Oryctolagus cuniculus: one gene and its partner. Each later gene encodes a partner of the first gene's protein in a complex. Links are inferred from orthologs where the notes say so. Each region holds a gene or a part of one and is shown on either strand. Other genes may lie near its edges.

Region 1 (4,412 bases):
CTGCGGAACGAGCAGGGAATTTGTTGAGATGCAAAAGGTCATGAATTTAAACGAAAACCCAGGGAGTCCTGTTTGCTAGTGGCATCTGCCATCTGAAAAGCTCCTACTCAGTTCGCTTCCGGGAGGAACAGACCTGTTCTGAGGGTCGAACCACGCTTCCCTCCTTGGGGCTGCCCAGCGGCCTCCCCAGCGGTGCACCTACCCTGGTAGCCGCCGCCGCCTCCTCCCGCGGTGCAGGCCCCTCCGCCGCCCCCGAAGCCGCCGGCCGCGGCCCAGCCAAGGGCAGCCCAGGCTTCGGCGCAGCCCTGGCCGCCCTCGGCCCCCTCCCGCAGCGAGCGGCCCGCCTGCGGCGAGGGGGCCCGCGAAGTCCAGCCGCCGCCTCCACCTGCGGAGGAACAGCAGGGTGGCCGGCAGCGGGGATGCGGTGCACGCCCGCCTGCCCGCGGCCGCGCGCCCTCACCTGCCGCCCCGCCTCTCCCGCCGCTCCCGGGCGCTGCTGAGCGGTTCTCCAGTTTCTCGGGGGCGGCCTGAGTCCGGCCTCCGTCCCGCCGCCTCAGGTAGGCCCGACCACCGCCTCCGGCAGCCACTAGCAGCGGCTCCAGCTCGCCCTCGCGCATCTGTGGGGCCAGCCGCGCATTCAGGCGCGCGCCCCGCAGCCGTCCAGGGAGGACCAGGACCCGGGGCTCCGACGAGGACGGAGGGCTCGCCGCTGGGGCCAGGGAGCGGGCGGCCTCCGGGAGCAGACAGAGCGCGGCTGTGCGCGACTGGGGCAGAGGATCAGGACTCAACCTTGGGCAGTCGGGGCGAGGGCGGCCAGGCCGGGGGCACCTACCTGGAAGACGAAAGTGGCGCCCCCGCCGCCCCCGCCGCCCCCGGCCCAGCGCCTCGACCCAGGCACCGTTTCGGGCCCATCCGTCGCTTCGTGCTCTTCAGCCGCCCAGGACTCTCCGAGGCAGACGCGCCGGCTCTCCGGGCTCCCCTGCGGGCCCCAGGGATCGGGGCAGGCTGAGCTGGCGTCCGCACCCCTCGGGAAGGACCCCCAACCCCAATTCCCACACCGGCCCCCGCCCCGGGCATTCGAGCCGCCCAGGAGTAAGCAGAGCCGGGGACGCTTACGCCGGGGCAGGCGTCCTCTCCCTGCTGCCCCACGAGGATGTAAAGTGGGTCCCCGCGACCCAGCGAGAAGACGGCGGAGACGAAGACGCCGTGTGCCCGCGACAGGTGGTTCTTGGCGCCTTTGCCGCCCGCGGCTCCGTAAGCCGAGATCCTGTGGGACACGACTCTGAGTGCTCCGGCCTGGGTCCTCACGCCCGCTGTCTAGCCTAAAGGTGGGAGCCCGGGGCACCTCCAGGATTTATCTGGGGGCCATTGAGAGGATGTAGTCAACTCTGAAGGGCTGGGAAGACTAAGTTTGTACACCAACGATTTCGATTTCACGTTTATTTCAGGAGTTAATGGAGACGGGGCAGACTCAAGCCATCGGCGGCTGGTTAGGGACCCGGTACCGGCTGATCGGGTTCCTTAGGAAGGAGAGGCGGTGGGGTCACACAGGTTGGGCCGACATCGCTTTGGAGGACCTCAGAACGCAAGGTCGCCCGAGCTTGACCTTCTTGCCCAATCTGGGGCCTGAGGGTCACCACCCACCCACCGCACCCGCACTTACAGGTATTGCCCAGGGCCGGGCGGTTGCCACAGCTGCACACCTCGCAGCGGCCCCGCGGCGCCCACCGTCACCGCCACGCTGCTGCCCGCGTACGCCCCGTCACACTGCGTTTGTGTGGGGCCGCGTCGGCCGCTGGCCCCGCAGGTGGAGAACAGCCAAGGCCCCTCGGTGCCTGGGAGAAGCGGGAAGGGAGGAGGAGGTCACGGAGCCCCTGGCCCGGCCTGGGAGAGTCTGGGTATGGCGCGCAGAAGAGCAGAGAGGAGCCCCGAGTTCACCTAGGGGATTTAGGGGAAAGGGTGGCTCCAAGCTGCCAGGTCGGGTGGTGACTTTTGGGTCCTGGGCGCTGGGAATGGACAGCGGCCGTGGTGAGGATGGCAGAGAAGGCGCTTGGGACCCCGAGCTGGAGCAGAGAATGGCGCCTGGAAGGTGACAAGGAAACAGCAGTGTTGGGATAGGGAGTAGGATTGTAATGGGGGAGGCGGTAAGAGGGATAACCCCCAACAGCCCGCCCGGGTTGCCCGTGGCCACACCCCTAGTCCCGCCCTGCCGATGCCCAATGTCCAGCATGGACGCCGGCGCAGCCCCGCTCCATCCGCCAGGCCCGCGGAGCCCGATACCTCTGCCCGTCGCCAGTGATGACCCGTGGGTCTGCAGGCGCTGCCTGCTTTTTCTGGGCTTGGACTGCGGCCCGCCCCAGGGAGATGCTGAAACCGCCGGGTTTATCCCTCCTTCCCAAGATGCGTGATCCCGCACCCCAGGAGCACAGACCGGAGAGCTTGGGCCGCCAGGATTCCAGGCCTCTGGAGGAGCCACCGGGACCCGGTGTGTGGCGACCGCGATCCCCAGGAGCAGGAAGGCGCCCCGGCCTGAGCGGCCCCCGGACTGCCAGACGGCACTTACCCGCGGCGCCGAGCCACAGCAGCAGCCGGCCCGACCGGCCCATCACCTGTTCCTCGCCGGGGCGGGGGCTGCTGGCTTGGTCCTTCAGCCGCGGCCCCAGTGTCCGGCCGCAGAGATGCCCGGGTACCTAAAGCCGCCTGGCCACGCCCACCTCAGACCCCGGGACGCCGAGGAAGGAAAGGGCGGGGCCTGTGGGCAGCCAGGTCCGCACTCTTCCGGGAGGAGCGTCGCGGGGCTCCGCCCAGGGGCTCCTGCGGGCCGGGGAGGAGGCGCACCGCCCTCTGGGGCAGGCGCGTGGGGAAGCCGCAAGCCTCACCCCAGGCACCTGCGGGGGCTTCGGGATTTCTCAGGACACCGGCAGCGCGGCGTGCGCCTCGATGGTGGAGGTGGTTGAGCTGGACAAGCGCTCTAAAGCGCGCCTAAGAAGGCACCGGCGCTGTGTTTACCCGTGTCTGTCGGCGCCCTGTAAACCACCGGGTACCCCCCAGCTGGGAGGGCTTTCTGTGTTGTCTTCAATCATTTGCCCAAAACACCACCAAAGGCCGATGCCCGTGCTTAATATAACACACTTGAAAAAAAGCCACTATGGTAGTGATTTAGTGTACATCCGCACTGCTGGGTGTAGATGGAACACTGGGTTTTGCAAAACTCTGATACCCATGTGCCGATGTGCTCTGTAGAAAGCCTTCTACAAGGTCACAGAATTGACTTCATAAGGCCTCCATCTATGGCTGGTCCTGGAGAATGGAATCAGCTTCACCTGAGAACCTGTTAGAAATGCAAATTCCCCACTTTCACCCCAGATCTACTGAACCCGAACCTCTGTGGCAGCACTCAGCAATGTTTGTTTTTCAGATGTATTTATTGGAAAGGCAGAGTGAGACATATACATACACACAAAGAGAGAGGGAGAGATGGAGGGAGGGAGAGAGAGAGGGAAAATCTTCCATCCACTGCTTCACTCCCCCAAATGGCTGCAACGGCCAGGACTGGGCCGAGCTGAGTCAAGAACCAGGAACTCCATCCCATTTTCCCAGTGGGTCGCAGGAGCTCAAGGATCTGAGCTATCATCGGCTACTTCTCAAGCACATCTGCAGGAAGCTGGATTGGAAGTGGAGTAGGGGTTGGCATCCTGGCACTTTTGCAGGCTGCAGGCATCCCAAGTGGCTTTACACAGGGCAGCACAACGCCTGTTGTAACGACTGGTTCTTAACATGGTGGTTTGTGACAGGTAAATTTGAGAACCATTGCTATTTGCAAATACAGTACGTACAAGGTTAATGAAACCTGTTGGACCATTTTGTGTTCAGCAGTTCCATATATGGGGAGGGGTTCTTTCTACCTACTGACAGGATGAGTTAAGGCACATTACACTCACTCTGGTGACCTGCTAACAGTTATAAGTAATCCACACAGCAAACAACATCAGAAAGCCTAAGTGCTAGAATTCAGAGAAAAGAACCACATAGAAACCACCAGAATAAAGAGGAGTGTCTGAGTGTATGCTTCATCTACCCCTCCCCCATTCTGGCCCACCACCCAGAAAGTTCCCGGTGCAAATGCTGATGCCGGCAGCCACTGCCCCAGTCTTTGTGGCTTCATGTCTCAGGATAGCAGCAGGCACACACAGGGGGCCATCAGAGTAGATGCTGAGCTCACTAAGGACACCTATCCTAGTGGAATGCTGAGTTCCAGAGGGACCCTCATTCCCAAGAGTATTCAGGTACACTGGGGCCCACAGGCTGTTGCCCCCTCCCACTCAGGATTCCCCCCAAACCCCTCCCCCAACAGTCCTGATCCTCCCTGGGGTTAGCCCACCCCTTCATACCAACCCTGGACTAGCATGACA
Region 2 (4,095 bases), on another chromosome or scaffold:
TGTCCAGGGAAGAGGTGGAACCTACTGAAAAGGAAATGCAGCAAGAATTGCAAAGTCCTGGGCACCTACATTAGGCCTGGTTGATGATACTACAGAGTAATGGGGACAGAACTGCAGCATCATCTGTTAGGGATGAGATTCCTCAGCCTCCAGGAGCTGGAAGATGCCCCCTGATGAATGAACTATGAGCACTGCCACACTCTGTGTCCAGAGGGGTCCTTTGTCCTTTTCTCACATCCTGCTTGTATCTGATTCACATCCAAGTGTTCCATACACAGAGATAGGATTGTAATAAGCCATCATTTTTCTCCCCACATCAATAAAGTACAGTGATCCAAAGAGGAGGCCATCATGAGCAGTTACAGAAAGCAATGGATAGAGCCAGTGTTGTGGCACAGCAGGTTAAGCCACCACTTGCAGTGCTGGCCTTCCAATACTGGAGTGAGTGCCAGCAGGAGTCCAGGCTGCTCCACTTCCAATATAGCTCCCTAATACATTTGGGAAGGCAGTGGTGATGGCCCAAGTGATTATGCTCTGCCACCCCCATGGGAGACCCTGATGGAGCTCCTGGCTCCAGATTAGCCCAGTACCTGTTGTTGCAGTCATTTAGGGAATGAAGCAGCAACACACTCTCTCTCTCCCCTTGATGCTGTCTTCAAGTAAATAAATAAATTTTTTAAAGATTTATTTATTTATTTGAAAGTGAGAGTTACACAGAGAGAGAAGGAGAGGCAGAGAGAGAGGTCTTCCATCTGCTGGCTCACTCCCCAGTTGGCTGCAGCGGCCGGAGCTGAGCTGATCTGAAGCCAGAAGCCAGGAGCTTCTTCTGGGTCTCCCACACAGGTGCAGAGGCCCAAGATCTTGGGTCATCTTCTACTGCTTTCCCAGGCCACAGGAGAAAGCTGGATCAGAAGTGGAACAGCCAGCTCTCAAACCAACAGCCATGTGGGAAGCCGGCACTGCAGGCAGGGGCTTTACCCGCTATGCCACAGCACCGGCCCCAATAAATTAAATCTTAAAGGAAAAAAGCAGTGGGCTTTGAAGGTGACCCACAGGTCAGTTTCTGCCAGGCTCCATTGTTTTCTGTAAACTTTCATGATTGCCATTATTAATAAAATTCTCCATTTTCTCTCATAACAAACTCAACTTCTCTTGAAACCAAGGAGAAAATATCTACTTGACTTCAACAAAACAAATGGTCTGGATTAAGTGACATCTTGGTCTCTGAAATAAATATTTGGGCTCACACCTGTTCTAGTCCCAAGGGCTCTCCACTGGCAGAGTGACAGGCTCTGCCCAGGTCCTCCACACACCAGCTTTCCAGGCCTTCTCACTCCCCCTCAACAGCCCACTCATTCATTCTCTGTGTGCAGCAGCCTTCCCCACCCACTTTCACACCCAGAATGTGCTGGGGCACAGCAGACACCTGTCACCTGCTCCTCTGGGGAGCCTCAGCCCTCTACATGACGGCATGTAACAGGGACTTGATGGACATTTCTGGAGGAAATATTGTTTGTATATTCATAACTATGATGGAAGAGAAAACGATAGGAAGAAATCCTTCTTTGCTATCTTAAAAGGGAAACAAGTGGCCAAAGGGGCCTTAGGAAAGTGGCACATTGGCCAGGTGGAAGCTGCCAGGCACGCTGAGGTGCTGAAAGAGGGGTCCTTCTGCTCCCAGCCAGGGCCAGCAGCTCCACCTTGCTCTGTTTTTGCAGAGTCTAAACAACAATCATGTTGGAGCTGCAATTTTTGTTTCCTACAGCCTGCCTTCCTGCCCCTCCCCTCCATCCAACAGCCCAGTCATCCCCTCTGCCCCCCTTTCCTCCTCATGCACACCACTTCTTCACCTTTGGGTGTCTCAGGACCCTCCCTCGTGTCTGTAGTGTCCACTTTCTCTCCCTCCTTGTCACCCCCTCCTCCTCAAGCATCTAAGGAGCAGAGTTGATTTGGGAGCAGCCAGCAGCATTTGGGACCCTTGTACAATGACCTAAGTCAGAGCAGTGGGTGGCCAGCCAACCACTTCATGGGGCCAGCTTGAAGGCATGGAGGAGAGGAGCCTATCTGGGCACGTTCAGGTGTCTGGGGGCAGTAGTCTTGGCTAATTCTCAAAACCCCAGCAGACCAAGAAATGAGGCAGTCACAGGTGCACAATAACCTGTCCACTACCCCCTTGGCCGGTGGGATGGAAGCCCAGGTCTTTCGGCTGCTCGGCCAATTATTTCCAAAAAAGGCCTCTCTCACACCTAGCAAGGGGGCATATCAAGTTGATTCTTTTTCCAGCTGGATTTCGTTACTTAAGTGTCAACCATGGTAAATCGATTAAGTCTATTATCTCTTCGTCTAGGAGCTGGATATCTGCAGAGAGTTTGTTCTCTGCTTGCTTAATTCAGGCTTCCCAAAACAAGCGCCCTGCCTGGTTTCTAGAGTAACCCAGTAACACCCAAGGGTTGGGCAGACGACGTCCCTCTTACCTGCGCTCCGGGAGGCGCTGGGAGCGGGGCCGGCCCCGGCCGCGGGGACAAAAAGCAACGTCTTTGGCTCCTCGCCCGCCACACGCGCTCCCCGGCGCCCCTGGGGCCTTCCCTGCGTACCGTGTGGGGACAAAGCCAGAGTCAGAAGGAGGAGCGCGGGTAGCGGGGCGCCTGGCTTAGCCGGCCGCATGTCCGCGCGTGGAGGAGCGAGAGTGCCGGAGGTTCCCGGAGGATCCCGAGGCGGGGACCGCACAGTCTGCAGCCCAGGAGAGTGGTGGCGGGAACGAGATCTCCGCTACCTGGCCGAAAGGAGTCCTCCCTGCCCGCCTGCGTCCGGAGCACGTCTGGCTGGGGAAGCACTAGGACTTAGCCCGGTGCGTGCCGGAGCATGTGCGCCCCGGGGGCGCGGGGCGGGGACGGAGGCGGGGCGCCCGGGGACCACGGGGTAGTCCGGGGGGAAAAGGGCGTGTCCCGGCACAGGGGACCCTCGGACAGAGCCTCTGGCTCAGCCTGATCGTCGGGGCTCCCTCCGAACACCGCCCGGGGCGCGGGACCACGCACTTGTATCCCCCGTCTCCGTGTCCCCCGCGTCGCACCACTGGTTCTCGTGGGACTGAGTCCCTCGCTCGCCCAGCTCTGTTGAGTCTCTCTCAGTTCACGGCTTCACGGGACCGGCGGGGTGAACAGAACAGGCAGCTTCCAGGTCTGGATGGGAGAAAACTGCGCCAATTTTCAATCTGGGAGCAGGCGGAAAGGTGTGGAGTTCACTTTCTTCAGCAGGGACCCCGGGTTCCGAGGGCAGCGTTCTCCCCGGGGCAGGGCGTCGCTGAAAGCGCAAACCATAGGCGCCCAACTGCCCGCCACCCTAGGCATCCACGGGAAGCGTCGGTTTGAGCGCTTCGGCAGGTGAAATCGCTGAAGTCGACCAGAACCCCCAAGAACGCAGTGTTTCCAAGTTAGGGAATTCTCGGAGATTAAATCCACCTGTTCTTATCAAAATAAAGCGAGCAACTGTGATCAAACTGTGTTCTGTTAATTATTGGGGACTGCTTTGTCAAGAATATTGAAAAGTGTTGGAACTGCTTGTCAATCAATGGATTGCCAATGATCTCATATGCAAAGTGGCAAATAGGGGGTCCAGGGAAGGAGCAATCAAGAAAAACCAAGGTCTCTTCACTCATGAGTCCTTGCCCAGCATTACTCTACAAAGAGACCTTGTCCATCACAAACCTTGAAAAACATAGCTCAACTGGTACAATAGTTTATCTAGGCTTGGCAATTCCATCAGGCCCAGGAAACTAGGGGCAAGAGCAAGTTTTACAGAAGTCTTAACTGCAATGCTTGGGGGAGTTACACAGGTGGAGACAGCAGCTTCCAATTTCCATTTTTAAAATCAAACATTTTTAAAAGAAGACAGAATTTTAAAAGGCATAAGTATTCAAAAAAATCTATCACTACATCTTCCCAAAATTGTTGATAAGCATAAATTTTGTTTAAATCATCTCTATTTCCATACATACGTATTTTGTACCTTCTTGGATAAAAAGGCTACTCTCTCGGAAAAGATGAGTAGAAGTCTTGTTTCACGTTAGCTTTCACTATTGATTCAGGGATTCCTGTT

What was found. Proteins that work in one complex are often made in the same cells at the same time.
Region 2: the proteins of LTK (region 1) and ALKAL1 are in contact, whole or in part, in a crystal structure (PDB 7NX0), measured with the Homo sapiens proteins. The link is inferred for Oryctolagus cuniculus from reciprocal best matches to the Homo sapiens genes LTK and ALKAL1. Residues at the interface, in NP_002335.2 of Homo sapiens: Tyr124, His140, Phe143, Ala250, Ser251, Pro252, Glu253, Leu359, Phe360, Leu361, Gln362, Leu364, Ala365, Val366, Glu368, Glu372, Glu374, Arg376; in NP_997296.1 of Homo sapiens: His93, Arg96, Leu97, Asn100, Thr101, Arg102, Glu103, Arg112, Arg115, Leu116, Arg119, Leu120, Ser123.

The regions. Positions count from the first base shown.
Region 1 is NC_091443.1:64,598,336-64,602,747, forward strand, and holds the start of LTK (leukocyte tyrosine kinase receptor), read right to left. Parts: upstream 2,808-4,412; 5' UTR 2,607-2,807; coding exon 2,564-2,606; intron 2,083-2,563; coding exon 1,939-2,082; intron 1,836-1,938; coding exon 1,664-1,835; intron 1,268-1,663; coding exon 1,117-1,267; intron 980-1,116; coding exon 833-979; intron 618-832; coding exon 203-617; intron 1-202. UniProt on the Homo sapiens protein: Receptor with a tyrosine-protein kinase activity. Following activation by ALKAL1 or ALKAL2 ligands at the cell surface, transduces an extracellular signal into an intracellular response.
Region 2 is NC_091437.1:77,162,988-77,167,082, forward strand, and holds the start of ALKAL1 (ALK and LTK ligand 1), read right to left. Parts: upstream 2,840-4,095; 5' UTR 2,665-2,839; coding exon 2,475-2,664; intron 1-2,474. UniProt on the Homo sapiens protein: Cytokine that acts as a physiological ligand for receptor tyrosine kinase LTK, leading to its activation. Monomeric ALKAL1 binds to LTK, leading to LTK homodimerization and activation.